Notamacropus eugenii: one gene and its partners. The protein of the gene in region 1 interacts with the protein of each later gene in a pairwise test. Links are inferred from orthologs where the notes say so. Each region holds a gene or a part of one and is shown in the gene's direction. Other genes may lie near its edges. The genes, in order: SRC, RARA, ESR2 and VDR.

The links.
Region 2: the proteins of SRC (region 1) and RARA interact in a two-hybrid assay, tested with the Homo sapiens proteins (2 studies listed by BioGRID). The link is inferred for Notamacropus eugenii from reciprocal best matches to the Homo sapiens genes SRC and RARA.
Region 3: the proteins of SRC (region 1) and ESR2 interact in a two-hybrid assay, tested with the Homo sapiens proteins (2 studies listed by BioGRID). The link is inferred for Notamacropus eugenii from reciprocal best matches to the Homo sapiens genes SRC and ESR2.
Region 4: the proteins of SRC (region 1) and VDR interact in a two-hybrid assay, tested with the Homo sapiens proteins (2 studies listed by BioGRID). The link is inferred for Notamacropus eugenii from reciprocal best matches to the Homo sapiens genes SRC and VDR.

What each region holds. Positions count from the first base shown.
Region 1 is NC_092872.1:427,958,135-427,966,121, forward strand, and holds the start of SRC (proto-oncogene tyrosine-protein kinase Src), read left to right. Parts: upstream 1-4,981; 5' UTR 4,982-5,012; intron 5,013-7,987. UniProt on the Homo sapiens protein: Non-receptor protein tyrosine kinase which is activated following engagement of many different classes of cellular receptors including immune response receptors, integrins and other adhesion receptors, receptor protein tyrosine kinases, G protein-coupled receptors as well as cytokine receptors.
Region 2 is NC_092873.1:355,850,060-355,857,566, forward strand, and holds the start of RARA (retinoic acid receptor alpha), read left to right. Parts: upstream 1-4,502; 5' UTR 4,503-4,613; coding exon 4,614-4,791; intron 4,792-7,507. UniProt on the Homo sapiens protein: Receptor for retinoic acid. Retinoic acid receptors bind as heterodimers to their target response elements in response to their ligands, all-trans or 9-cis retinoic acid, and regulate gene expression in various biological processes.
Region 3 is NC_092872.1:308,278,490-308,286,442, reverse strand, and holds the start of ESR2 (estrogen receptor beta), read left to right. Parts: upstream 1-4,947; 5' UTR 4,948-5,465; intron 5,466-5,598; 5' UTR 5,599-5,996; intron 5,997-7,953.
Region 4 is NC_092874.1:219,607,355-219,614,755, reverse strand, and holds the start of VDR (vitamin D3 receptor), read left to right. Parts: upstream 1-4,392; 5' UTR 4,393-4,607; intron 4,608-5,686; 5' UTR 5,687-5,794; intron 5,795-7,401.

The sequences.
Region 1 (7,987 bases):
GCATCTCCTTTTCCATCTGTTCAGTTGTTCCTTTGAAGGAGTTATTTTTTGCACTTTGGTTTTGTACTTCCTTTTCCATTTGTCCAGTTTTCCCAGTTAGGTTTGTGCTTCCTTTTTTATTACTCCCATTTTCCTTTTAAATTCTTCAGGGATTTCTCATATCATATTTTAAAAATCATTGGCAAGTTTTTCTTCTACATCCCTAATTTGACATTTAAAATCCTTCTTGAGCTTTTCTAAGAATGCTCTTTGGGCTAGAGACCAGTTCATATTCCCTTCTGAAGTTTCACATGGGAGTACAGTCTCAATGCTGACCTCTTTGGTATTTGTGTTTTGGTCCTTGTCCTCATAGAAAGATTCTATGGTATTATCTTTTCTGGTTTCCTTTTTGCTCACAATGATCACCCTTTTCCTGGCTTTTAAAATGTATCTCTGTTTCTGGGGTACAGGGGGCTCTGTCTCATGGTTCTTGTGCTTAGAATTTGAGACTTTGTGTATTGTGGCCTCTGGTTCTTTCAGTTAGAAACTAGAATGCTGTAGCTTACCTGGTGCTGAGCTGGCTGGTGTGTCAAAGCAGAGGCCAGGTGAAGTCTTTCTGAGTTTCCCTGGAGTTAACTCTGGAGCTAGCTGCGTTAAGTGTGGGGAAGGGGTGTTCTGGTCACAGGAAGTCTTCTCTCCTGAGCACAGGCAGGCTCAGTAGTTGGTGGACCCCATTTGCACTAGTGTCTTTCCAATTCCTCTAGCTGTGCTGAGGCACACCTGGGGTCCTAGTGTTGGTGATTACAGGCTCCAACCCACTGGAGCTCAGGATCTCCTCCCAGTTCACTGGGGTGCTGCTGCCTAGGACAGCTTCAATCTTGCACTGATTTCTTTCAGGCACAGCAAGAAGGACCCCCCTTTGCGATTTTCCTAGCCTCACAGGCTAAGAGACTGTTTGGCTGATCTCACTGTTCCAGGATTTTTGCTGGGGAAATATTCTCTGGGTTTTTCAAGGTCAGCAAGGGCAGGGGTAGAGCATTTATCGATCACTCTGCCATCTTGGCTCTCAGAAGTTCAAGTAAGTGACTTACAGACATTTAATCTACGGTCAGATAGTCTCAGAAGCAGCTAGTGCAGTTACCTGGAGTTCTGCAGTTCTCTCTCACTTAGTGCTACTGGACTCCCCACCTTGGGCTGATAGGTTTGAGATACCACAGTGCTCCTGCTGCTGCTTCAGACTGCCCGGGGCTTCCTCCTCAGCTTTGCTATGGCAGTGTCCATGCTGGTACAGCCTGTGCACTGTGTGCCCCTCCAGCCTCGTGCAATATATCCTTCCCATTGACCTTCCAGTCTGTCTTGGGTTAGAAATTGTATTGCCAAGGCAATATTCAAAGCACTGGTGGTGACTGTGAATATGTCAGCATAGTTCTCAATCACAAAACGTAAAAGATTCTCCATATAGAAGGCAGAAGAAAAACCAGAAAGCCAAATTCCATAACCAGAAAGGAAAATCCATCATGGTGACCAAGAAATTAATTAACATGATCATAGCCTAGGGCAAAGCCATTCTTAAACTTCCTCTGCCTCAGCCAGGGCCTTCTCACTATCAACTGTCACAATATGTCAGTTGGGCCTGTGTCAGTTGGCTTGTATCCGTTGGCTTGTGTTCTTTCCCCTCTTACCTGACCCTACTCACTCACTTCCTCCTGGTTCTGCTCCACCCTTCCTGTTCCACCTCTTCAGCAAGCTCCTCCCACCACATGTGGCCCAGGCTTCCAGGCAATTTAAGTAGATCACATGGGCCTATTAATTAACGAGAAAGATCTTTCCATTTAAATTACTATTACAGAAATCTGCCATACTCTGTCTCCTATTGGATTCTGCCACTCTAAAATTTGTTCAGATTCTCTTTTTAGAGGTATCTGAAGGAATTTATCTTAGAGCTTAGGTGAGTAGTTGCTCTCACTCCACTGTCTTGGTTCCAACTGAAAGGCCTCTTTTAGGTGACATTTGAGCTGAGTCTTGAAGGAAGCCAAGGAAAACCAAAGCACAGAGGTGGGGAGGGAGAGCATGCTAGACATGGAGGAAAGCCAAAGGAAAAGCAGAAAGATAGGAGATGGTATATTCTATGTCTGGATTATAAAAGAATTAATTTACAATTGGAAGGGACCTTTCAGGCCATTGAGTTTTATAAATTTAACAGATGAGGAAAGTGGGACCCAAAGAGAATAAATGACTTGCCCAGGATCACACAATAGCAAGTAGGCAGCTGTATCCTAGAGTGGAGGGCAAAGTATAAGAAGCTTGGAAAGGCCAGCAGAGCTGCTTGTGAAAAGCTTTAAATGCCAAAGAGAGGACTTTATATATGGGGATGGAAGTGAGGGGAGGGCCTTCCATGGTCAGACCTTGAGCTTTAAGAAAATCATTTTGGAAAGTGAGTTGAGGATGGATTGGAGTGAGGAGAGATTTGAGGTAGGGAGAACAGTTAGTGTGTGTGAGAGGTAGTAAGGACCTGAACCATGGGGATGAGTATGTGAGTGGAGAGAAGGGGACATATATAAGATGTTTTGACGGTTGAATGATAAGATTTAACAACAAATTGGATATGTGGAGTGAGTGAAGGTGAGGAGGCAGAGATAACAAGGCTGCAGTCCTGGGTACCCAGGAGGATGGTTGTGCCCTTAATAGAAATAGTGAAGTTCAGAAGAGAGGACAGTTTGAGGGAAGAGATAACGAGTTCTCTTTTGAATATAATGAGTTTGAGGTGCCTAAAAGAAAATTGATTTCAAAATGTCTTAAACCCAGTTGGTGATGCAGGGAGAGATGAGTTCAGGAGAGAGACTGGAATCATCTGCATACAAATGATCACTGAACCCTGGGAAGTTGATGAGATTACCAAGTAAGACAGTATAGAGGGAAAAGAAAAGAGGGCCCAGGGCAGTGCAGGGCAAATAGACTACTTGTTGTTGTGTGAACTTGGGCAAATTACTTATTCTCTCTGGACCCCAATTTCTTCATCTGTAAAATTTATAAAATTCAAGGGTCTCAAAGGTCTCTCCCAATTCTAAATCAGCGCTTGTGTGAGCTAGAGGGAAAATTGACAAAGGAATAGTCAGTCAGACAGGAAAGGAACCACAAAAGATGAGGGTCACAAAAACCTACAGAAGAAAGAATATCATGGAAGAGAAAGTGATGAACAGTAGAAAATGATGAAGAGAGGTCAAGAAGAATTGAAGAGAGGCCTTTAGATTTGGCAATTAAATCATAGGTACTTTTGGAAAGGTTTTAGTTGAGTTATTAGGTAAGAATCCAGATTGCAGAGAGTTTAGAAGTGAGTGGAGAAGTGGAGTGAGAGATAGGGATCACCTTAAGTCCAATTTTCCTTGTTTTACTGATAGGGAAACTGAGGCTAAAAGAGGGAACATTAACTTGTCCAGAAGTATTTCCTTTCCTGGTCCTCTGTTTTTGTTTATGATGTGACCTTTTATGTCTAAATTATGTATCTGTTTGGAACTTATCTTGGTGTGTGGTATGAGATGCTGTTCTAATCTTAATTTGTCAGACTGCTTTTCCATTTTTGTTGAATAGTGAGCCCTTACCCTAATAATTGGTATTATTGAACATTAAACAACTATGTTCATTTTCTTCTACATGTTGTGTAGTTAACCTGCTCTTCCCATTGATTTTTCTCTATTTTAAAACCAATACCAATTAGATTTAATATTTACTTTTTTGTAATATAGTTTGTGATCTGGTACTACTAGGACCCTTTCCTTCTCACCTCTTTTTCATTTTCCTTTGAGATTCTTAACCTTTTGTTTTTTGGTTGTTTTTTTTTTTTATATTTTAACTCTTAAAAAGTAATCCTTTACTAGTTTGGCATAGCATTAAACAAATTTATGAAAGATTGTCATTTTTACATTGGCACAACTTAACCATGAGAAATGAATATTTCTTCAATTATTTCTGTATGGGGTACTTTGTAGTTGCATTCATAGAATTCTTGTGAGTATCTTGTTACCTGGATTCCCAGTATTTTATATGTTCTTTAGTTATTTTGAATGGAATTTCTCTGTCTTCACTAGGTTTTATTGGTACTATATAGAAAACCTGATAATTTATGTGGATTTATTTCTGTATCACTTCATATAAATCTTTTCCATGCTTTTCTGTATTTATCAGAAATACATAATTTCTTATAGCACATTCATTTACTGTAATAAATATTTCATTACATTCATGTACCATAACTTGTTAGCCATTCCTCAGTTGATGGATATCTACTTTGTTTCCAGTTCTTTGCCATCACAAAAAGTACTGCTATAATGCTCGGGGTCAGGGCCCAAGCCCCCTGGATCCCCCTGACCCACGGGCCTCTAATCTGTGGGCCCTGAAGGAAGAAGACTGGAGACAAGATGATCCAAGCAACAACCCTTTATTCAGCTGAGGGTTAGGGTTTATAAAGGCTGATCCACCAATCACATACATGCTGAGCTCATCCCATTACTTCACCTTCTCATGACTATTCCACATCCTTACATCCCCAGTAAGTAAGGAAGCTTATCTTGTTCCTGCAGCTAGTTCCTGGGTTCCCAGGCTCACTTGTAACTTTACTGTACAGGACATCAGTGTCTGCAGGAACATCAGGTTCCAGGGTCACACAGAGCTTCTGCCAGGGTGTGCGTCAGCACCGTTCCCACGGGAACAGGCTTTGCCTCTGACTTGCACCCCCTGGGACCCTCTGGTCCCCTTACACTATAACTTCCTTAGGGTATAAGCCTAATAATGGTGTCTCTGATTCAGAGCATATGGACTTTTAAGTCACTTTATTTGCAGAATTCCAAATTGCTTTTTAACATGGTTGTGCCATTTCACAGCTCCAAAAATGTTTTGTTGTAGCCTCTGTGCTGATATTTTATTTAATGATTTTTCATCAATATTCATAAGTCATGCTGGTCTATAATTTACTTTCTCTGCTTTTTTTCTCCCTCGTTTAGGTACCAAGACTACGTTTATATCATAGAATATTTTTGGTAAGATATCTTTTTCCACTTTTGTGAATAGTTTACATAATATTGAAATTAATTGTTTTTTGAATATTTGACAAAATTCAATTTAAAAGCAATTTGGTCCTGGATATTCTTTCTTTTTATTTATAGCACTAAAAAGTTTTTTTTTAACTGAAATTATGTTATTAAAATTATCTATTTTTGTTGCATCAATCTAGATATATAATACTTTTATAAGTATTCTTTCATAGCATCTAAGTTATCCATTCTGTTGGCATATAATTGGCATAATCATTTTCATAATTTCCTTTATTTTACCTATATTATGAATTTTGCTTTTTAGATTTTGATACATACTGACAATTTGATTGTACACTCCTTTTTTAAAAACTCATATTAATTAACTTAAACTATGATATTTTTTAAAATAAGCTACTACTTTTAATTATCAGTTATTTTTTTTTTGCCTTCAATTTTGTTAATCTCCTTTGACTTTCCAAATTTCTGTTTCTGTGTTTAGTTCTTTTTTTTGTAATGCTTTTCTAGTTTTTTAAATTGCATACCAAATTCATTGTTCTGTTTTTTTCTTTCTTTTGTTGATGGGCATGTTTAGAGACTTTGTAACCAAATCATACTTTATTTGATTATGTCCTGGACATCATTGTATCCTAAGATTTCTTTATTGTTTAGAGCCTTCTTCTCTTTATTCATGTTTCTGGTTTAAATTCCTGAATCAAGAAATTTTGTCAGGGTCAGTCCCTGACTGCTCCTGTACACTTGGATGGGAGAGTGGTTCCCTCTTTTGGACTTTTTTTTGGATATATTTTTAAGTTAGATTTTAATACACTGGTAGCTGCCACCTCTGCTTATAGAAAAATTAGAGAAGTTTTGAGGGAAGAGAACAGTCAGAACACATGAAAGATTACAGTATATCCATTTATCCCTAAAGAATCCCATAATAATTAGACATTGCATTCCCCAGTTGATGAATGGTCAAAGGATATGAACAGGGAATTTTCAGAGGAAGAAATTAAAGGTATCTATAATTATATAAAAAAATGCTCTAAATCACTGTTGATTAGAGAGAAGTAAATCAAAACGACTCTGAGTTGCCACATCATACCTATCAGATTGGCTAACACGACAAAACAGGAAGATGATAAATGTTGGAGAAGATGTGGGAGAGTTGGAACACTAATTCATTGTTGGTGGAGCTGTGAGCTGATCCAACCATTCTGGAGAGCAATTTGGAACTATGCCCAAAGGGCTACAAAAATGTTTATACCCTTTGACCCAGCAATATCGCTTCTGGGACTGTATCCCAAAGAGATCATATAAATGGGAAAGGGTCCCACATGTACAAAAATATTTATAGCAGCACTCTTTGTGGTGGCCAAAAACTGGAAATCAAGGGGATGCCCATCAATTGGGGAATGGCTGAACAAGCTGTAGTATATGAATGTAATGGAATACTATTGTGCTGTGAGAAATGATGAACAGGAAGACTTCAGAGAGGCCTGGAAGGACTTATATGAACTGATGCTGAGTGAAAAGAGCACAGCAATAACCACAGTGTGTGAGGAATTTTTTTGGTAGACGTAGTATTTCATTAAAATGCACAGACTTAAAAAATTTGCAGTGGTGTCTTGAAGCAAAATGCCTTCCACATCCAGAGAAAGAACTATGGAATTGGATCTCAGATAGAAACAGATCGTTTTCTTTTGTATTGTGTTTTGTTTTGTTTTATGGTTTCTCCCATTCATTTTAATTCTTCTATGCAACATGCATTTAATAGGAATGTACGTGTAGAACCTGTATAAGATTGTATACCATCTCAGGGAGGGTGTGGGGAGGAAGGGGGGAATGAAGCGGAAGAAGTGGAAGAAAATCTAAGATATATGGAAGTGATTGTCAAACACTGAAAACAAATAAAATAATTCAGTTAAAAAATAATAAAATAAAATAAATAAAGACATTGAACAGATAGCTGTTAGGGCTAACAGTAATTGCCCTTGCTGCCAATCACTGGTAATTCTTTGGAATCAAAGGATTTTTTTTTTCTTTTGGAGAGATGTTTTCTTTTTACTTCTTAAATTTAAATTCTTTAAAATTTTAAAAACATTTTGTTTTTATTCTTAACTCAAACAGCAAAAAAGTTGATTCTGTATCACAAATCACCATTTCATACCATGTTCTTTTAAAATACATATGTAATTAATTCTCACATTATGTCAAAACTGTCCTGATTATCTATATTGCTTCCTGAACTTCCTTCCATAATCTTCCGTGCATTTAAAACATTGTTGCAGCTGTCTGTTTTGAAAATCACTATTGCTTCATCTTCAATGCTCCTCCCCATTAGAAACCTCAAGAAAGAAGGGGGAAAAACCCATGTTATAAATATGCATAGTAAAGTCAAATGAATCCATATGAAGTCCATGTAATAACAATGTATTTCTCTTTCTGTTTCTTGCTTCTATCACCTTTCTTTCAGGATATGGCTAGCATGGTTTATCATAGGTCCTCTAAAGAAGTCATTGAATTGATCAGAATTCTTAGGTCTTTCAGAGTTGTTTTTCTTTATAATGCTGCTATCCTTGTGTAAATTGTTCTCTTGGTTCTGCTCATTTCACTGTGCATCAGTTCATACTATCCAGGATTCTCCACAATTATCTCTTTTTTCTTATTTTATGTTGCAATTATATTCCATTATATAATATGCCACAGTTTGTTCAGCTATCCCCTAGTTGTCTAAGAGATAATCTAAGGCACACTCTTCCCTCTCAGAGTCTAGTATTTTTCATTTTTCTTCCTTTCATTTCTTTCTTCAGGATCAGGAAGTTCTTTGGTTTGTGATTACTCCTACCCTGTTATTACTCCCTCTCTTCATTCACTGACTCGTTATCCTCACTTGTTTTTCAATTTAATTTGATGTATTTCTGCAATAAACTGTGTGTGAGGGGGTGTGGCAGTATGTGTGTGTGTGTGTGTGTGTGTGT
Region 2 (7,507 bases), on another chromosome or scaffold:
CTGTAGAACAAAGTCCTTATATCACTCTAGTAAACCAAATATAAGCCTACTGGTGGGAGTCATGGGAAGATACAGGAGAGAGGAGTCCCAGGCCGCTGAGTTTTTGAGTGGAAGCAAGGAGGGTACAGCTCAAATCAGTTCAATCCTCTCAGCCTTAGAGGAGGTGAACATCCTGTGAGGAACCTGTTGTGTGGGGCTAAAACATGAGAAGGAAGTCAAAGGGAGAGGAGGTCCATGGGGTTGACTCTACAGGAGTAGATGACATAGCAAACTATTCTTGTGCCTGCCGATTCTCTGAAATCCCCTTGACACTGCCCCCTGTGTCTCCTCCCTCTTATTTGCCACTGCCAGGTGGGGCACAAGAAGGGTTCAGGATATCCTGGCACTGTGGGCTTGTGGTTTTCCCGCCCCTGCTGCCCACATTGAGGGGGAGGAAGGTACCCTGTGGGTAGCCTACGAAGTATAGGAGTGAATTGGATGTGGGTGTCTTGTTTCCCTTCTCTGCCTGTGTTGGGCCTTGATTCTCTGAAGATGCCCTTCTTACCCCAGGAGAAAGAGGTGATGCCATGCTTCTAGGATGAGGTGGGGTGGAGTTGTAGGACCTAGTGAGTGAATACACACAAACACACACACACACACACACACATACACATACACACACACTCACTGCCCTTCCTGGACTCTCAGGTACTCTGTGTGTCGCCTTGTCAGGTCCTCCTACCTCCATCTCCACCCCTCTGCCCAACCCTGTTTAGTTGGTCTTACCTAGGCTTTTGACAAGATCTCTGTGACCTTTATCCCTGCCTCTATTGCTTCCTCCTCCCCTTGGCTGGAAGTCCCTCCCTTGAGAACTTTAAGTAACTTTGCTCCAGACTTTATATCATAGGCCAAGTTGTGTTGGAGACAGGCTGTCAGTCCTGACATGGAGGTGGTTGGGTTGGCGGGAAGGAGAAACTGTGGGCTGAACACAGGCTCTATTCCTTCTACATGAGAGTAAGGGGGATGCCTCTAATACCTGGGCAGTACCTAGTGGTGAAGTTCAAGGTGGCTTGGGGTCTCCCCCTTGGGAGTGGTTATGGGATCTCTGAGAGCTGAGTCCAGGTTGGGCCCAGAGGGTACCTTTTGAATTGAGATCTGTCTAGCTGGATATGTGGGGTACACAGCTACTGGAATGTCCTGTGTTTGAGAGCTTACTGGAGATATGGGGGCCTAAGATGGAGAGGTGATGCCAGCAAATGATAAGCTCAGAATAAGCTAAGTTGGATAAGACAGGGTGTAGTAGGATTCCCCTTTGTCAGAGAGCCCCTCCCTTAGTTGTCTTAGCCTGAGCTTATCTGTGGAGGCTGAGCTCAGGCCTTGAGAGAGTGACCATTTTCCAGGCCTTAGGGAGGGTAGGCTATGCCTAAGTTTGTGTGATCATCAGTGTGTGTGGTGGGATGGCTGGACTTAAGGGAGAGGGGCTTTTAGGACCTCTCTTGGCAGAAGAGGCAGTTGGAAGGTCCAGGCTGGTGGTAGAGAGCTGGGAGAATCTAAAGTGGAATAAACTCGTGTGTGTGTGTGTGTGTGTGTGTGTGTGTGTGTGTGTGTGTGTCCATGTCCATGTGGGGTTGTATGTCTGGGTGTATAGACAGAAGTAAATAATTGTGTTCATTGTATGGCATAGCAATAGTTACCTCCTAGCTACACACACACACACACACACACACACACACACACACACACACACACACACACACACCATTCTCTTGGAAGTGAATGTGTTTGTTTTTAACAAAAATTTGTATTAATAAATTTTATTTTTGAAACATCATACAGATCCCTAGCCTTCTCCTAACTGAATCCCCACAACTAAAATCTTTGAAAACAGTGAAGTAAAAGAACACAAAAGAGCAGTTTGGGCTGAGTGTATACGAACATGATTTCATTTTTCCCACCCAAACACATGACTCTCTGTCTGCCTGAGGTTCTGGGTCACTGTCTCCTGTCATTGGTGAAGCTTACCCATCTGGAGAACTTCCATAGAGGTCCTGGGTGTGGCAGATTGGCTGCTGACTGGGTGGGGCTCCCTGGGCCTCTGATGTCACCCTCCTTTACTGGCCTGGGAGGACTTCATCAGAGACCTGGAAGTGTGTTTCTGTGGTCAAAATTAATAATCATGGTAATTAATAAGCTAGGGAAGCAAACTCTATCCCCAGGTAGAGGGGACAAAAGGCTACATTTCTCTCTTCCTCCTCCTTTTCTCCCCCTTTCCCAGGGGCTTTTTTGCTTACTGAGGAGCTGAAAGACCCTTTTAATGGTAATTGCTAGCCTTACCAATAAATTTTTTTGTAGGGGGGGAAGGCAGTTGGGGTTAAGTAACTTGCCACATGGTTCATAAGTATCTGAGGCCAGCCTTGAACTCAGGTCCTCCTGATACCTAATTCTAAGACTGGTGCCCCATACACCGAGACACCTAGCAGCCCCACCTTACCAATAAATTGAATTGTGAACTTGATACTTTGTGCCTCAGTTTACCTTAATTTCAGTTGTGACATCCATCCCCCACCTCCTCACTTCCCCACTTCTGCCTGTCTCTTCCTAATGTCTACTTGGCTCTCACTACCACTCTACCCTGCATTATTCAGCTGGGACAGTGGACAGTGAGGGGGAAGAGTTGCCAATGGCATCCCTGGCAGGTAGGCATTACTTAGCTTGGTATTTGGGCTTGGTGGTACTGCATCAGTACCCTTTGCTCCCCAAGGTATAATGTAGCTTATCCCCTTGTTCACTGGGGTTGTAGACCTGCTCCTACAGACTGTTCTTTGCACATGCCCTGGTGTGGCCTTTGATGGCTGTCCTAATGTGTTTCTCTTTATCTCTCTCCTTTTGTCTCTTTTCTCTCCATCTCTCTGACTCCCTCTGTCTTTGTGACCTTCCTTCCTTCCTTCGAAGTTGGAGTTAAGTAACTTGCCCAGGGTCACACAGCTAGTAAATGTCTGAGGCTGGATTTGAACTCAGGTCCTCCTGACTACAGGGCTGCTGGTGGTCCATCTACTATGCCATCTAGCTGCCCCTGTGACCTTTCTTAACATGTGAGGAAGGGTAAAGACTGGACTTATAATCAGAACACCCAGGCACAAGTTCTGGCTTTGTCATTTACAAGTTGTGTGACTGTGGACAACTTATTTGCCAGCCCCAGGCCTCAGTTTTCTCATCTGTAAAAGTGAAAGAGTGAAGCTAAAAACACAGAAAGCCTCTGCTTCCATTGTACTCACTTAAGGTTTGGGGCAGGGAATGTCAAAATGACCCCAGAATCATAGAATTTTACAATTGGAAGGGACCTCGATAGCCCTTTAGCCTGATTCCCATGTAAAAATATATACCAGTAAATCCCTTGGCTCCCTTCAGTCAGTGCTTGAGGACTTCAAGTGAGGAGATACTTACCTTTCCTAGGTGACCCATTCTTCTCCTGGGCATCCTTAATTGTTAGCATGTTTTTTTTTCATCAAGCCTGTGTTGGCTTCTTGGCAATTTCCACCCATTGCTCCTGGTTCTTGCCTCTGGGGCTAAGGACAACAAACATGACCCCCCTTCTACACACCAGCCTTCAAATATTTGAAGACGGCTCTGTGGCCCACCTGCATCTTCCTCTTCTCCAGGCTAAACATCCTCATCCCCACCCTATCCCCACCCATGCAGGGTGTTAGGTCCCTGGATTTTGGGGCTGGGGTGGGGGAAGTGGTGTAAGAGGCCCCTAGGGTTGCTGCGTCACGATTCTGAGAAGTACCATGCTTTAGGGAAGCAGCTTCTCTCCCCTTCCCCTCCCTCGGTTACCTCCACCATCCCCACGCTTTCTCTACATCTGTGACCTTAGGTAACCCTTCTTTGGGGAGATCTCTAGGTCCAGCTGTGTTTCCCTCATGTCCCCTGCTGATCTCCAGGGACCCCGCCTTCAAGGCACAACAGGCCTTTTGGCCACATTAGGGTGAGAGGTGTCTCCTAAAGGTTTAAGTTCTGCTCTTTGTGCGAATGTTCTCACCCTCACCTCTTCCTCTGCAGTGTCTGGGCCCCACTCCCAAGTTGTCTGTGCCAGGCAGGCACTGTGCCATCTGTCTGCTTAGCCTGGTGTCACGGGAAAACCTCCAGCTGCCCAGGTGGGGGGAGCCCCGTAGAGAAAACCCCTGTGCCCTGTTCTCTGTGCCTACTCACCTGTCTTGTCTTCTCCTTTTCAGCATCAGAAGACATGGCTTCCCCAGCAGCACCAGCGTCATCAGAGTTCATCTAGGTGAGGATACCTCGCTCGATACTCTGCCTAACAGCCAGCCGTGGTGGGTGCCATTCAGGAGGCTACCTCAGCTTTCCAAGCCTCATTCCAGCTTATCATAGCAGCCGACCTGAGCAGCGCCCTCCCCTCCCTTTGCCACCTTGCCCCTGGTTTGGGCGGTGGCTCCAGAAGGCCAAGATCACCCTGTGGGGTACTGCCCTCTTCAGCTGCAGGACAGGAAGAGGGGGTGGGTTGATCACCCACAACCCCTCCCAACTCCAGGCCCCAATGAGCTGAGAAGGGGCATTGAGAAGCCCCTCAAACCTTCCCAACTGGACTCTCTGTCTGTATCTTTGACTGTCATCAGGGCATGGCCAGCAATAGCAGCTCATGCCCAACGCCTGGGAGTGGGCACCTTAATGGGTACCCAGTGCCTCACTATGCCTTCTTCTTCCCTCCCATGCTGGGCGGACTTTCTCCACCTGGCACCCTGACAAGTATCCAGCACCAGCTTCCTGTCAGTGGGTACAGCACTCCGTCACCAGCCAGTAAGTTGTGCCACAGAGTGGGAATGAGGGGTGGGGATGGGTGGGATTGAGGGCTCAGATATCACAGGAGAACCTGGTGGTTTATCATCAGAGCTCTGTGAGGGGATGGTTTGTGGTGGTTTTGTTATATAAAAACACTGGGAAGGATGGGGTGTCAGTCAGGGAGTGACAAAGAAAGAGTGGCTAATAACGGACGTAGCTGTTGGGGGAGCTAAGGGGTACACTGGATAGAGCTCTGGATTTGGCATCAGAAAAAACTCAAGTTGAAATCCTGCCATAGACACTCGCTGTGTGACCTTAGGAAAGTACTTAAACCTCTCTCAGCCTCAGTTTCCTTATCTGTAAAATGGGAAGAATAATAGCACTGACCTCACAGGGCTATTGTGAGATTCCAGTGAGATCAGATGTGGAAAGTGTTCTGCAAACTTCGAAACACTATATGAATACTGTTTATTACTGTTGCCTGTTTTACAGGGAATGTCCTTCGAAGCTTGCAGGGGCCCCATCTAGGGATGGGAAAGGAACCTCTATTATAATTTGGGTTGCTGGACTCTGCCAAAGTATGTGCTAGGCTGGAGGGCTGCAGAAAGGTTAGGGCCATTTGTGTTGCGTTCTCGGCCCGGCTTTCCCTCCTTCCACCTCACTGAGGATCTTATAAATAGCTTGGTTGGCAGCAGACAAAGGCCCCTGGTAGATAAACAAACCTCTCGACATTTGGCGGGAACAGTATTGTGACCTGGAGAGGCAGCCACATGCCCTCCTCCCTCATCCTTACCCTCAGGGTCCCCTGTACCAGGTGTCTTTTTATGAGGGTACCTAAAGGGTGTAGGAGGAAGGCCAGCACAGCGCGCTTCCCCTACATACATACCTTGCTACTAATTCCCCTATTTGAGTGGAGCGTGAAGGGAGGGAGGTGGTGGGTATAAACCTGGTGAGAATTGAGGTGAGCTAGGCAATGGAGGGAAGGAGCTCTGGGGACAGCATGAGGGCGGGGGCAGGGAGGAAAGCTCTGCCTTGGTCATGGGTGGGAGCTGGGCTGCAAGGAAAAGACATAGGCCCCTCCCTCTTCCCTTTTGCTCTGTCTCTGATTTTTTTCCCCCATTTCCCCCTTCCTCTCTATCTTTCCCATGAGAGTTTTGCACGGGCTAGGTGGGCGTCTCTTCCACCCCTGGCCTGTCTGAAGCCAGGTAGTGGGAGGTGGCAGTAGTGGCTGCCAGCTGGCATAGCTCAGACCAGAGGCCTGCCAGGCCTCTTACTGTAACTCTGGCCCCTAGGGCCGAGCTGGGCACAGTGCCAAGTCAGGAGGGGGAGGGATCTGGGGCCTGGCCGGGCGGGGAGAAGAGGGAACAGAGGCTGGGAGATGGATGGACAGGGCAGCTGTTGACCTGGGAAATGTCCTGTTCTCCCTCCTCCCTCCATCCCACATGCCTTTTCCCTGGCCTGCCCAGGATGAACACTGCCACAGACACCCACTGCTTCTCCTGTTGGCACCAGTGGGGCACCTGGCAACACTGCTCTCTGCTCCCTGCCCTGGGTCAATGCTCCCTTCTCTGGATTAGGGCAGTACTCGCCTTCCTAGGGTCAGGGCAGTCTCATTGTCCCTGAAGTTGACCCTGGAATGGTGCCACCCTACTTGCTCTGGCCAGTTGCCCACAGCATCTGACCTTCCCTAGAGTTCCTCCTCTGTCTCTGTGTCATTCTCCTTCCTGACTTCCCCCCACAGCCAGGGAACTTTCAGGTATCTTGTACATAGTAGACATTTAATAAATGCTTGTTGTTAAATCAATTTGAAATGGACAAATGTATCTGCCATTCTGGTGCCCCCTTCCCACTTTACTATTGGTGTTTTCAGCTTGGGGGAGGGACTACTTCTTGGTCCCCAGAGGGATAACCCAGGTCCTGCTCAGAAAGTTTCCTGAATGCCACTCTGGATATCCGCCCCCGTGCCCCAAAGTCTCCCTTCTCCCTTCAGTCCCTTCTCCCATCTCATTGTCTCCTGTCTTGTTTTCACTCTGTACACTTTGCTCTGTATGGAAGCTTTAAAGCTCAACCCCAATTGGGGAGAGAGCTCTTTTATTTTGCATCTCACCTACTCTTGCAGCCCATATGCTTTATCTGAATGTCTGGTGTTTGTCCTGAGTGGTTAAGGCCTTTGGAGGTGGGGCTGAGAGGGGGGACTGGACTGATTCCTCCTTAAGTTGGCACTGCCCCCATTCTAGGAGCTGAAATTGTAAGGCTTCCTGTTCTTGCCAGGTTGGCACTTCCATTGGACAGTGGGGCGTGTGCCCAAGTGTCTGGGGGGCACACTTTTTTCTAGAATGGGATGTGCAGAAAACTAGTGGCCCAAATCCTGGGACACTGCATAATGGGGGAATGTGAGTCTTTGGCTGGCACTAGAGAAGGACATTCTGCCTAGCCTTTGCCTCCCTTACCCCATGACCACTCCCATGCCAGCCTGGGAAGAGGTTTCCCCCTTACCCAGGAATGTTGTAAGCTGGTTCCTCTTTCTTGATGTGCACTAGGGGGTGGCTTCCGGGATCCCCGATGTACTCCCCACCCTGGGAACCATTTCCCCTGGGTGCAGGGGAGAGGGGGTGAGTGGGAAGAAAGAGGTGTGGATTTGTAATTTCCTGGTAGGGTCCCCTCACCCATACTTGGGCAATACCCTTTCCTGTTCCCCCGCCACTGCTCTTATTTTTTCCCAGGAGCCTCCTCC
Region 3 (7,953 bases), about 120 Mb from region 1:
GGCTTACATAGAACTAATGACTTGACCAATGACAAATTCAGCTGGAATTTGAATCCAGTTTTCTGACTTCAAATCCAACAGTCTTTCTATTACACTTTGGTTTTCTTATTTTGTTCATAATAGCTAATATTTTTCAATGTAATGTATGTAGTTTATGTTTACAAAGAGCTTTATATAATACTAGGTGCTATATTTGCTAAATGCATTAACTCCTCAGGGTTCTATGGGGCAGAACAGAGCAGGCATTATTTCTATTTAACAGATAAGTAAATGAGACTCAGACACATTAAGTAACCCATCTAAGGTCTCAGAACTAGTGAGTGACAGACCCACAGATTGAAGATGGGTCTTCTAATGAGGCCAGTGCTCTTTCTCCCATATGACACTGCTTCATAGGAGAGCACAGATGAGGTGCCAGCACTCCCAGCCCATTCTCTATTTAAACCTGTGCTGTTATTAGTGCCATGAGGAGCCAGAAGTGAAAAGGTAGCAAGAAAGGGGTAAGTGGGTTGTTGATAGTTCCATCCTCATGTGTACACAAATTTGAGAGTTTTCCATTGCCTAGGATGTGTTCCTCCCCAAGTTACCTTTTTTTTACCTGCTAGATGCCTTATATTACTTCTCCACATACTTTCTTGGCCACTTAGGACTTGTCATTCTTCTTGTCTTTAAAATTATAAAGAATATAAATAGGTTCCCCAATTGATAAATGGTCAAAGGATATGAACAGGCAATTTTCGGAAGAAGAAATTAAAGATATCTATAATCATATGAAAAAATGCTCTAAATCACTATTGATTAGAGAGATGCAAATCAAAACAACTCTGAGGTACCACATCACACCTATAAGATTGGCAAACATGACAGAACAAGAAAATGATAAATGCTGGAGAGGATGTGGGAGAGTTGGAACACTAATTCATTGTTGGTGGAGCTGCGAGCGCATCCAACCATTCTGGAGAGCAATTTGGAACTATGCCCAAAGGGCTACAAAAATGTGCATACCCTTTGACCCAGCAATATCGCTACTAGGACTGTATCCCCAAGAGATCATAAAAATGGGAGAGGGTCCCACATGTACAAAAATATTTATAGCAGCACTCTTCGTAGTTGCCAAAAACTGGAAGTCAAGGGGATGTCCATCAATTGGGGAATGGCTGAATAAATTATGGTATATGAATGTAATGGAGTACTATTGTGCCATAAGAAATGATGAACAAGAAGACTTCAGAGAGGCCTGGAAGGACTTATATGACCTGATGCTGAGTGGAAGGAGCAGAACCAGGAGAACTTTGTGCACAGCAACAACCACAGTGTGCGAGAGTTTTTTCTGGTAGACTTGGAATTTCGTAATAAGGCAAGAACTTCTTAAAAAAAAAAAAAATCCCAATGGTGGTTCTCTAAGGCAAAATGCCTTCCACACTCAGAGAAAGAAATATGGAAGTCATTCGCAGAATGTAGAAGATCATGTTTGTGTATGTGTATGTTTTTGTGTATCGTTTTGATTTGTTATATGATTTCTTCCATTTATTTTAGTCCGACTACATAGCATGACTATAGTGAAAATGTACTCAATAGGAAAGTATATGTAGAACCTATACAGAATTGTATGCAGTCGTGGGGAGGGAGGGGGGTAGTGGGGAGTAGGTGTGGGGGGGATAAAATCTCAATTGTATGGCAATGATTGTTAAACATTAAAAAATAATAAAAAAAACGCAAAAAATAAAAAAAAATAAAATAAAAAAATACAAAAAATACAAAAAGAATATAAATAGGGTAAGTGTAGACTTTGTTTACCAAATCTTAAACTACTAGAACTAGAGGTTACCACTTGATGCTCTTAAAAATAAATTAGGTCAAACACCCAATTATGTTAAAGATACCTTTCTCTAAGTTACTCAATAGAGAAATCTAGGAGTTATTATTTCATGTCTCTCTATGTCTACTTCCACTCCCATCACCTTAATTCAGATCCTCATTATCTTTTATTTCTCCCTGCCTCAGGTTCTTGTCCCCTGTAATCTAGAATATCTATATCTATCTATCTATCTATCTATCTATCTATCTATCTATCTATCTATCTATCTATCTATCTATCTGTCTGTCTGTCTGTCTGTCTGTCTGTCTGTCTGTCTGTCTGTCTGTCTATCCATACATATATGTGTGTGTGTGTGTGTGTGTGTGTGTGTGTGTGTGTGTATATATACACACACACATATCTGAGCAAGAGTATGCTGGCAAATGTTTAACAACTGGCTCTCCAAAAACAAACAAATGAAAACAATGCACAGAATATACTTTTAAGATTAATTTGTATTACTAACATTTTCTTCATCAGTTTCCTAAGTCTAGACGAGCAACAAAACAACAAATCTAGCCCTGATTTGTAGCACTTACTGATTTCTAAGGTGTAAATGCTGAAAATTTTATACTCAATATGTTACCTACAACACACTGATCATGATACTCTCCTACCCCCCAGCAAAAAATTATATTTATAGGCTGCTTAAGTTTTGCAAAAGCTTTCTTCATAACAATGCTATAAGGTGGGTAGTATAAGAATTATTCCCATTTTAGAGATAAGGAAACTGAGACTGTGAAAGGATAAGTTTTTGTTCAGTTGTGTCCAATACTTCATGAACCTGTTTGGTGTTTTCTTGGCAAAGATAGTGGAGTGGTTTGTCATTTTCTTCTCCAGCTCATTTTACAGATAAGAAACTGAGACAAAGAGGGTTAAGTGACTTAACACTCCAGGGTCACACAGCTAAGTGTCTGGAGTCAGATATGAGCTCATAAAAATGAGTCTGTCTGATTCAAAGCCCAGAGCTCTATCTACTGAGTCATCTAGTAACCTCAAAGGGTAAGTGTCAGGAATTAAAACCAGGTCTTCTGACTCCAGGTCGATATTCTTTCTAATATGTCATATAACCTTTCAAAATAAAGTAACAAAAAAAAATCAATAGCTAACTATTGTTACCTAACAAGCCTAAGTCTCCTAACCTCATCACTGAAGGTCCTCTATCCTCTGGTCTAACCTATCTTTCCAGGTTTATATTACTCCCACATGTATACCTTTTGTTTCAGCCAAAACAGACCCCTCATTGTCCAAAGAAGTTCTGTGTTTTGCTGCCCCAGTGAACGTTTCTCATGGCATCCCTTTTTCAAATGCTATCACATTCTTCAAGTTCCATCTCAAAAGGCCACACCTTCTATGAAGTCCTCCCTGTCACCTCTATAACCTCTAACTTTCCAGTCCCTCCTTTACCTTCTCATAATACTTTGTGCCTTGTTCATATATTCACTGAATTCTATTCACTGAATTCTATTCTATTCTATTCTAATTTATCTTCATTACTAGCCTGTAAGCACTTTGAGAACAGTAACCCTACCCTGAACATAGTTGGAACTCAGAAATGAATCAAAGGCAAGGAAGGATTTCTCTGTGCTAACTAGGAAATTAAAACTAATTGAAAAATGTACATCAAGAGATGGATGATTTTTTCTAAAATTATATGTTTAAGATAAGAACTTAGAGATTCATAAATAATAGTTCTATATTACACTATTAAGGGAAATTAGGTTGCTTTAGGTTAGATACTTAATGTCTTAGGATCAGATGCTACAAGGAACCTATGATTCCTTTCATTTTGCAATGGAGAAGTTGAGACCTGAAAAGGGATCTCTTTTAGATATCACAAAGTAGGGGAGCCTGTATGTAGGAAGCAGATGATAGCAGTTTCAAACTGCATCAATTAGTAGAATTTTTTCTGGGCAAGTCAGGTTGATTTTATTCTGAGCAGCAAATAGACAGTGAAGTCAGGTATCCTGATTCCAGGCCCAGGACTGACTCCTTTCTTTCACATTGCTGTGGCTGGTATCACAGAGGACAACTTCTAAACAGCTGTTTGTCTCTTTGGAAGAGGCAGTATTGGATTATAAATAGATGGACCACAGGTCTGATGCCTTCTGACATTTATGCTTGGGAACATTTGTCCTTCCTTCACAAAAGTGCTTGGGATCGCACCCTTATCGCATCACCACTTATACCATGCATAGAAGTGTGCACAGATTTAGAGCTACAAAGGACCATCAAAATCATTTAGTTCAACCCTGTCATTTTTTATAGATAAGAAAATTGAGGCTCAAGGAGGTTAATTGACTTGTCCATGGTAACATAGAAGAACTGAGTTTAAATTCAGATTCTCTCTACAAATCCAAGGCTCTTTCCATAGTTCCTTGTCATTTGCTTTTGAATGAACACATACAACCATATTCTTTCAAACTATAGTGAAAAGAACACTTTTGTTGTTGTTCAGTCGTGCCTGACTCTTCATGGCCCCGCCTGTGTTTTTCTTGGCAAAGATATTAGAGTGGTTTGCCATTTCCTTCTCCAGCTCATTTTACAGATGAGGAAACTGAGGTAGATAGGGTTCAAGGACTTGCCCAGGGTCCCACAGCAAGTAAAGATCTGAAGTCAGATTTGAACTCAGGAAGATGAATCTGTCTGACTCCAGGCTCACCACTCCTAGCTGCCAGCTAGCTACTCCTGAAAGAACTTACCTCTGGAAGAGAAGTACCTGAATCTGATTCTTAGATCTGTTATCTGTATCAGCTTGGGCAAGTCACCTAACCTATCTGGGACTCAGTTTCTTTGTCTGTAAACACAAAGTTGTTGAACTGAGTAACCTCAAGGTCTCTTCTAGCAATATATGATTAATGGAGTGAAGTATTTTAGCCCTATCCCCTAAACAGACTTGGTTAGTTGGATCTGAGACACTCATTGCCACCTTTCTTCTCCACCCACACTCAATGAACAAATTCTGTTTTATGAGGGGTGGGAGAAGGAGGGATCTAAAATGCCACAAGGGGGCAGCAGCTTCCACACTGGAGGGTCCTGAGGCTGAGAAGAGAATTCCTTCATAAGCAATTGGGGCTGGGGCAGCTTCTGGCGTCTCAACTCCCAATAGAATCAGCTGTACTACTGCCTTATCCAGCTGCAGTCTGGAATGGCTGGTCTGATCTTTGAGACTCCTGTAACTGATTAGTGGAGCAAGCACCATGCTCCCCTGCTCCTTTCTTAACCTGTGCTTCAGGTGCCTGAGAGCTGGACTCAGCTTCAACCCCTTCAAGTGTATGTTGTATCTTCAGAAGCACGGACCATCCCGCCTGTTTTTTATTGCAGGGAACTATGGTTTCTTGGGAAATGCTTATAACACCAGGAGCCAGAAACCTGCATTGATTCCTGGCACAGATGTGGTTCACAAATCTCAGTTGCTCCCCAGCTACCTCCAATAGTCTTGGAAGGATCCGAATAAGACTACTGGTCTTAGGGTCCCCCTAAGACTATTGGAAGTGGCTAGGGGAGCAGCTGAGCTGTCCTAGGGTCCCCCAAAGGATGATGCCGGCTCTTTAGAGTCCTGCCCAAGCTGGAGGAAAAAAGAAGCAAAGTGTTTCTGGAGAGAAAGGTGGGCTTACTCATTTGGGGGCGTCAGCTTCAATTCCCCATTGCGATTATTTGCAAAGGGAAAGAGGAAAGGGTGAGGGGAGAGGGGACATGAACAACAGCTGGTGAATTATTTGTGATTTCGTTTTTCTTAGGCTTTTTTGACTTTTTTTTAACCACTTGATGCTCGAGAAAACGAAAGCTGCCTTTCCTGAAAACGCGTTGCTTTGAAACTTGTGTCAGGAAGGAGGAGGAAGAAACTCTACCTTCCTCCCTTGGAAAACAGACAGCAAGAGGGTCCGCTGTAGGTGTAATAGACTCGTACTGATGACTTGGTATCTTCTTGCCCAGTAAAAACGGTCACTGACTAGCTTGTGCTTGTGGGGATTGGATGCGTCCTACAGTCTTAGTAGCTGCGAGGGATCCCTCCTGAAGCTAAAAGCCAGCTTTGGGGAGACTGGGATTCCTAGAGCATTGAGAATTCTTGCAAGATAACCATGTGCATGCTTAGTCTGGCCAGATTGTTCTGAAGAAACGGATTGTTTCCCTGCAGGTAGGTACAACAGTTGATTCAGAATCTAATTGCTTGGATTAATTTTTTGAAATTCAGGAGTGCAGAGGCACTAGCATCTAGAGAGCAGCAAACAAACAAAAAAATTTAGGAAACTAATAACTGCTGCGTTTATGGCAGAGGAAAGTTAATCTCTTCTACTGGTATGTGCCATCTGTGAAATAGAAACACTTTTGTGTTGATTTGTACACAAGAATTTTTAAAATTTCCTTCTGGTTTTTCCTTCTAAAGTATCTTCTTCAGGGATTCTCCACTTGATTTAAATTTGAAAAAAAAAAAAGAATGCAACACAATATTTTTCTCTGGGGATGGGGAGATTTGTGGTGGGGTGACTGGTCAGATGGTAGTTGTTCTAGCTGAATTAAATCAATTAGTGATATTTCCTGTTCAAGGGTAGATGGACTTTAGTCTGAGAGGTTTGGGCAAGATGTGGCTGTTTTATTGGTTGAGAAGGAAGACAAGCTTTAAAGAAATAGGGATTTATCAGTGGTCTATTTCTTACTGGCAAACTGAAATTGATAGAATGAGAATGTCATTCAGGTGAAAATATTTTATTTTTTGGGAAATGAAAGTGAGGTTTGTAATGGTTTCTTTTTTGACAGGAGGAAATCATAGTTCAGGACAGTCAAATGGTGTACTTTTTTAAAATGAAACTTTATTTACCTTGCTACTGAATAATATCACCCCTTGAGTTTATGTCCGTCTATAACTATCTATTCATGTAGATACATAGATATGTGTATCTCAGGGTCTTATTTAGCAACCTGAAAAGATTTCTTTTGGAGAAATTAATTATCTTGCTAACTATCTTTAAATGTCTGTTTTTGCCCTGTACACATGAGATGAGAATAGGAGTAGTGAAGGGAATGCTTGATTTGATCGTAAAGGTTAACTACATATTCATTGAACTCATATACTTTGATTAGGGATAGTCTTTTTTCTTATCAGCACTTACCACACTTAAGCACTTAAAAATATTCTATCTTATAAGTGTACTTTGGTTATAAAGAAACTAATCTTTGTGGTCATTATCTTGCCTTTTTTCGGAGAAAAGTTTGTGTTGTTTTAGAATCTAGTTGCTGGAAGGAAGGGGGAAGTTATATATTTAGTGCATCAACAAGTGTTACGAATACAACAAGCCTTTGGATTTGGCTCTGAGGGGTACTTTTAGTTAGGAGAAATGTCTGCCCTTCAGAGCTTTATTTCACTTATCCTGGGCTCATATTTTGTGCTGCTTCTGTCCATAAGAGAAAACGCTTCATTTTTGTTGAATGTGACATTTTAGGCTTTAGTATTATGAATTTTGAGAAAATGTTTTAGCCATTAATGTTTAAAGTTATGGACTTTGGGAAAATGTTTAAGCTATTAATAACATTATAGGGAAATGACACCTAGCATTAGTTGAAAATTCCCATTAGGACATTAATTTTTAATTACTCATTAAATTAAGTTGCTTTTGTTTAAATCATTAGCTTCCCTGAGTTAAAATATTATGCCTTTTGTTGTTCCCTGAGTTCTATAATCCCACTGCAATCCTGGCATTTTAACCTTAATTTCATACCATTTGATATAAAGAAGGCTGCCTGAAGCTGTATTTAGTTGCATGGTAGAGAGCAGACAGTGGTTGAAAAATGGCAACTTTTAGTGGAGAACCACAAGGTTAAAATAAATGATGTATATGTTTTGAAATGACTTAAGTATAAAATACATATATATAATTTTATTCCTATTAATCACACTTTTTATTCCTTTTAGCCTAATTTCATTCACTGTGTTAATGCTTGGACTTCCGAGTGGTACTTTCAGAACTAGAGGCCATTGTAAGAAACACAGATTTGGGGGATTTTATGTACAGTTTAAAACAATGCATTATGTTTTTATTTTAACTGATTTGTTTGTTTCTAGTATTTCTGCAAATCCAAGTTATTTTCATGTACAG
Region 4 (7,401 bases), on another chromosome or scaffold:
CATTTGGCTTAAGGAGGGAATAAAATGCACACTCAATTTGATATGAAAATCTATCTTACACTACAAGAAAGTAGGGGAGAAGGGGATAAGTGGAGTGTGGGGGAATGATAGAAGGGAGGGCAAATGGGAGGAGGGAGTAATTAGAAGTAAATACTTTTGGGGAGGAACAAGGTCAAAAGAGAGAATAGAATAAATGGGGGGCAGGACAGGATGGAGGGAAATATATTTAGTCTTTCACAGCATGACTATTATGGAAAACTTTTGTATGTATATATACACATGTATAGCCTATATTGAATTGCTTGCCTTCTTAGTGGGGATGGGTGGAGAGGGAGGAAGGGAGAGAAGCTGGAATTCAAAATTTTAGAAATGAATGCTGAGAATTGTTTTTGCATGTAACTGGGAAATAAATACAGGTAATGGGGTATCTATCTTGGCTTACAAAAAAAGACAGAAGATGGGGATAAGGGAAGGGAGGTATGTGATAGAAGGGAGGGCAGATTGGGGGAAGGGGTAATCAGAATGCACGTTATCTTGGGGTGGGGGGAGGAGAGAGATGGGGAGAAAATTTGGACCTCAAAATCTTGTGGAAATGAATGTTGAAAACAAAAAATTAATTAATTAATTAATTAAAAACAAAAGAGAGAAAGAATAGATCGTCGACTTGAGCAGCCAACCAAAAAACATTTAGAAAAGTAACCAAAAAAGCCTTGCAACTATACACAAAGATAAAAATTCTGAAAGTCAAAGATATAAAATTGAAAACAAAAACTCCACTGAATTGATAATAAACTAGAAAATGAGCTTTAAAAGAATGATAAAATAGATAAACTGTTGGCTGATCTGATTTTTAAGAAAAGTGGACCAAATGAAAAATATCAGTAAGAAGAAATCACAACAAATGAATAACGGAAATTATTAGAAATTATTTTGCCTAATAGTAATGGAGTGAATGGGCAGCTAGGAGTCCATGTGGATTGAGGGCTGGGCCAGAAGTCAGGAAGACTGAGTTCAAATCTGGCCTCAGGCACTTACTAGCTATGTGACCCTGGCCAAGTCACTTAACCCTGTTTGCCTCCATTTCTTCATCTGTAAAATAAGCTGGAGAAAAGAATGGCAAACCACTCCAACACCTTTGCCAAAAAAACCCTAAATGGAGTCACAAAGAGTTGGACAGGAAATGACTGAACAACAAATTGAGTCAGTATTATCTGTGATGGGGAAATGCTGTAGGGGCCTTTCCAATAAGATCATGCTTGAGGCAAAAATGTTCATTATCACCTCTGGTATTTGACCCAGTACTAGTCATTTTAGGTATATTAACAAAACAAGAAAAGAAAATTTAGGCAATGAACATAGGCAAAAAAAGCACAATAATCACCTTTTTTTCCCTTAATTTTTCGCAAGGCTGCACGCCAGACTTCTCTAGCATTCTACCTTACCAGTTACCTTCTCCTCCCTCAAACCCATTTTTCAGATTCCTTTTACCTGTTGCCTTCCACCATTAGAATGTAAGTTCCTTACGAGTGGAGACTGTTTTCTTTCTTCTTTCTATCTGCATTTCCTGTACTTAGCACAGTGCCTGGCCCAGGGTAAGTCCTTAATAAATGCTTATTGACCGATGAGTGACTGACTGCCTATGAAATGATAGTTTACTAGAGAACCTTAAAAATTCAACTAATAATTAACTGAAACAATAATTTCAGCCAAGTGGGATATACAATAAACTCACATATATCACTGGAATTTGTGTATATGAGCAACAAAACCCAAAAGAAAAAGAGAAGGAAATGAAAATTCCATTCCTAATATCTATGCATAAGATATCTGGGAGTCCACATTATCAAGAAACACACAGGGATTATGTGACTCCAAAATTCTCTATAGAGAATTCTATGAAGATTTAAAGACAAACCTAAAAACTGAAGCTCATAGTTGGATAGCGTCAATGTAATAAAAATTACATTATCTAAATTAATTTACTTATTCAGTGCCATGCTAATCAAATTTTTTATTGTTGTTGACTCTTTGTGGCCTTTGCGGGGTTTTCTTGTCAAAGATACTAGAGTGATTTAATATTTCCTTCTCCATCTCCATTTATCAATAAGGAAACTGTCTAGTAAGTGTCTGAGACCAGATTTGAACCCAGTTAGATGAGTCTTCCCGACTCCAGGCCCTGTCCTCTATCCACTGCATTATGTATCTGTCTTCAGTATCAAAATACTAAAGGGTTACTTCATAGAACTAGAAAAATCACTAACAAAATTCATTAGAAGGAAAGATCAAGAACTTCAAGGGAAATAAAAAAGTCAAAAGGAAGGGAGCCTAGCAGCACCAGATCTTAAGCCATACTAGAAAACAATAATTATGAAAATTATTTGGTATTAGTTTAAAAAAACAGGAAGACTGATTGGTCAAACATGATACACCAAATCTAGAAGCAAACAAGCATAATAACACTGTGTTTGATAAACCCCTGGACTCCAAGTTCAGGACTTGCTAGTTGGCAAAAACTGCTCTGAAAACTAAAAACTGCCCAGCAGAAATTAGATTTAGGCCAACATCTGAAATCATATACCAGTATAAATTGCAAATGGACACATAACCTAGACATAAAAGGTCACATCATAAGGAGCAAGAAAGGAGATAGTATTCACTGTTATGGATGGAAGAAGATTTCTTGAGTAAATAATGAATGGAGAAAATCACAAGAAATAAAATGAATATTTTTTATCATATGAACTTTGAAAAGCTTCTGCACAAGCAAAATCAGTGCAATTTAAATGAGAAATGAAACAGTTAACTAGTAAAAAAAAAATTTGCAGAAAATTTCCCTCATAAAGTTCTAATGTCTCAGATATATAATAAATTGATTCAAATATGGAAGAAAAAGAGCCATTCCCCAAGAGATAAGGTTATAAACAGGCAATTTCCAAAAGCAGCAACCAATAATGATATGAAAAAACATTTGATATCACTAATATGAGAAGTGAAAATTAAAATAATTCTCATTAAATCAAATTAAAATACCCCATACTCAACAGATTCACAAAGATGACTAAAAAATGAAATTGAGCATTTTTGGAGGCGATTAGACTCATTAATGCAATGTGAATTGATCCAACCATTCTGGAAAGAAATATGGAATCATAACAACAAAAAAACACTATCCATCCCCTCTGATCCAGTGATAACATTGGGAGAAGACTGAAAAATCAGAGACTGCTAATTAGGTATTTTACATTTCACTTCCTCTTGACATTGTCCAAATACCCCCCCAGGATAAGTCTTCCAGGCTCAGCCCAGTCCAGTGAAGGTCTTCTCTGACGCAGCAGCTCCTGCAGCTGCCCATCAGCTCTAACCCCGGGGGACCCAAGTCCTCCAGAGCTCTAGAACTCCCACGGTGATGGATTAGAGGTGCCCAACGGAACACACACGTTCAGGCAAGGCCAATGGATTTGTTTTTCACTGGACCATGTTTATTTGTTATAAGGGAAGGCTTTGGGAAAGAGGGAGAGTAAGAAGGAGGTTAGTGATAGCGATGGCAAAAAAAAGGTGAAGAAAGTATGAATAACATATTTTTAAAAGCACAGAAGAGAACCGAAGGAGGTTCTGGAGGAGACGTAGATAAATAGGACAGCTTTGGAACTATCGATGAAATTTGTTGCGTACTTTTAAAAAGCTATATACATACATACTCTACAAAGCTATATATATATACTTCATATATAACACATCTTCCCCCCTTGTAATATGTGGAATTGTTAGTATTCGATGGTGTTAGGATAACAAAGTTAAGTTTTAGACTAACAAGTTCAGAGTAACAAAAACACTCAATTAAAATCCTGAAGTTAAGGAGCAGCATGCTTGCGCTGGCACTTGGGCCAGCCTCCAGAGGACGGTTTACACTGTCCTTTGTTTTCCTCTCCACAGCCGGTGGAAAGAACAGATCTAACCCCCATCTTCTGCACGACGCGCGCTGACAACCTTCCCAAGGCGCAGACCCATCCAGGTGTGGCGACGCACCTGGAGAGTGCTGCGGACTGTACCACTGTGAGGTGCAGGGGGGGGAGCTGTCCACAAAGTAACACAAAAAGGCCAGAACGGGCATCTTCAGAGTCACGGTGACTGAGACGACATAATACAGAGGGGGGGACTCCGTCTTGCTCCCAAAGCTTCGGGGATGCACGGAATAGGTTCCCCCGCACCCTCCACGGGAGAGTGACTGATTCGAAACTCAAGATGGTGTCGGAGCAGATTGAGCTCAGCCTGCCCCAGCCACTGGCTGGGGAGGACTGGGACCCAGGAGCCGGGCCAAAGTGATGGGGCGGGTCCGGAGGCAGGGTCAGAGCCAGGGGGCGGGGCCAGGTGCGGGGCTGTCTCTTCTTGTCAAAAGGCAGCCTCCCAGCTTGAGCGGTTCCGATCTCCCAGCGGGCGTGTGCCGGGGCCAGGTGCGGAGCAAGGACCGGGACTGGGCTCCGAGCCGGGACCGGGACCGAGACTGGGAGCGGGTTCGCGGTGGAGATCTCGAGATCTCGGGGACCGAGGAGGAGGGGGTGTACGCCTGCCAGTGTGTGCGCCCCTGGGCCACTGAGCGAGGCTGGGAGGTGAGGGCACCGTCTGAGCGCCAGGCTGTGGTGCCACGAGTCAGGCTGGACAGCGGGCTAGCTGGGAGAAAGAACGGAGTCCTGGGAGCCTTTGCCCAGCGAGGAAGTGGACTGTAGGCTTGAACTGACTGGGCTCCCAAGTCAACAAGCGAAAAAGCGTTCGAGTTGGAATTGGGGAGGCAGCGTGGGGTGCTTTTTGGGAGAGGGTCTGAAGGAAACTGATGACTATAGGGAGTCCTAGAGTCCATCTGGGCGCTTTTGATCTTTGTCCATTCCCCCGGGGAATCTTAAGACGCGCAAGAAGGGTCTCTAAGGCTCCTATCCTGTAGAGTTTCTTAAAGTAGAAGGTTCTACAACTATCATTATTGTACGGTGCCATTTAACGAAGGACGTGCCTCCAGAGTGCGCGTGTGGTCGAGGGGATGGGGAGCTTGGGGGGGCTGTAGAACGGCTCCTTTCAGTACCTCTGGGACAGTGTCAGAGTGCGGAGGGGACTCGGGAGCTGCTTCTGAGAGAGGGAAATGAGTTGAAGTGAGAAATTTCCGTGGGCGAATGAGTGAAAGCCATTTGGGAAAGTTTCTGTGAAGGAACTGCGTGTGGGGCTTGAGGGAGTTGTGAAGAGCGGGGTCTGCCCAGGGGAGAGGGTCTAGCCCTCTGGCTAATAGAAGATCAAGGACAAGGCCCTTGATACCTGGGGAATGAGTGGGGTGGAACAGGCAGGGTGCCCCCAGCCTAGCTGGGTCTGAGCCCTTCCTGGTCCTCCTCCTCCTTTTCTCTCCTCCTCCGTGCGGTGAGTGAGTCAGCCTCCTGTCTGGGCTCAGACACAGCCAGGGGGGCTAGAGCCTGGGTTAGATCTTCTTTGAGCTTTGCGGAAACACTCTTGGGCAGAGTTCAGTTCTGCCCCCAAATCATTGTTAGGTGGCTGTCTTCCATGAGGAGGTGAGTATGGGCTAGTTAGGGCAAAGAAACAGGCATTTCTAAGGAAGCAATGGCCCTAAGGTTTTCTGGGATGTTTCTGAAAGGAGCCAGGAGTGACCACCCCCAGGTGTGACTACATGTTTTTCCCATTTTTTTCTCAGGATTTGGTGGTGGGTCCTAGTACTCCAGAGCTGTCATTGAAATGGTCCAGCTTTTTCCTGCCTACCACCTCACCCCTGAGTGATCGCTTCAGCCGATGACCTCAGCCGGTAAGTTCAAAGTGCAGAGACAAGGGCTGTGCCTTTCACCAAATGAGTTTGGAGAAGGACAAAAGAGGGGTCATGCCTTGAGCTGGAAGAAGAGATCTGGACAGCCAGGCTTCTTCACCTTTACTCAGGGCTATCCATGAGAGGGGTGGAACTGGAACCCTTTACCCTCTTTGTTGTTGTTCTCGCTGCGCAAGTGTAAGAAATGACTTATTTCTTCTGGAGGAAAAATGACAAGATTGTGATATAGTCAGATTACCCTAGAGAGAGTAGTCCTTAAATATGTTTTTGGTCTTCTTTGGTAGAAGGGGATAGAGATCCCCCTAAGGGGATAATAGGGGCATCAGAGTTTCTTCTTTGGCCCCAGACCCTGCTGCTTCCCTTTTTCAATTCATTTGAGGAGAGGCCTTAATGCCTCATTGGGCTATGCGGATGACTCAGACTGTAGAAAGTTAGGAAATTTACAATCCATGTTTCAACCAGATCTCAGGCTTATGGGTTTGGTGAGTCTTTGGGTCACTAGTGGTGTGAACTTCTGGAGGAGACAAAACTTTGAGCCCTTCCAAGCCTCTAGTCTGGGAAGAGATTAAAGGGGAGAAGGGAGAAAGTCCAGTGGGTTTACTTCATTGGGACTGGATTTAGGTTGTTCTTTATTTGTGTAAGTAATGTGCAGGATTAAGATAATTTATTTCTTGGAATATTCTCACTTTGCCTTAGGATTGCTCTTTCCTTGATATCAAATCCTTTATAAAAATAAAGTGAAACTCTTGAACTCTCCCAAAGCACAAACCCAATGCTTCTCCAGGGCTAGACGTGTAAAATTTGGAGAATGATACTGGGCCAGAACAAGATAGTTCCATCCCCCCAAGGTAGAATGGAGTAGTACGCAGTTCATTAGCTTACTATGTTCTGTCCCATATTAACCCTTAGACCTAGATACTGGCCCAGGAGAGTTCTTCTAGAACCAATTCCAACAACCTCCTAGTTTGAGCAGGCTATTAACTTGGGTCCCTCTGAGCACAGAGTCAAAGAGTTAGGGGGACCTAGAAGTCTGAGCTGGGACAACAGTCTAGCTAATAATAACACTCCATATTTATGTAGTATGTAGTATTCTACATGTTATCTCTTGTGTTCCTATGAAGTAGATAGGACAGGTATTGTTGCCCTGTTCTGCAGATAAAGAAAAAGGCTCTTTAGTGATTTGTTCCAAGTTCGGTACTTTTTCTATTATATCAAGCATATTTTTGTTCTCCTGACAGCCACAGTATGGAAGAATTATGAGGCTTTATACTTGGGCCAGAACTGAACTGGTTTCTAAAGGCAGTAGAGAGTAGAGGACATGTCCTGAGAAACCTGAGGTCAAATTTTGGACAGTTACCATGGGACCTCAGACAAGTCACTTTATCTCTCTAAACCTCAGTTTCCTTATCTATAAAGTAGGTTTAAGTTATACTAACTACCCTGGAAAGAAAAGGCTTTGTAAACCTTAAAGCAATTTCTAAATATGAATTGTTGTTTCTTCCTCGAGCAATAAAGATTACTTTTCTAGGTAGTTTTCCCACTTGCTTCACTGGCCCACTCTCTTTCCCTCCCTTTGCATAGTATACATT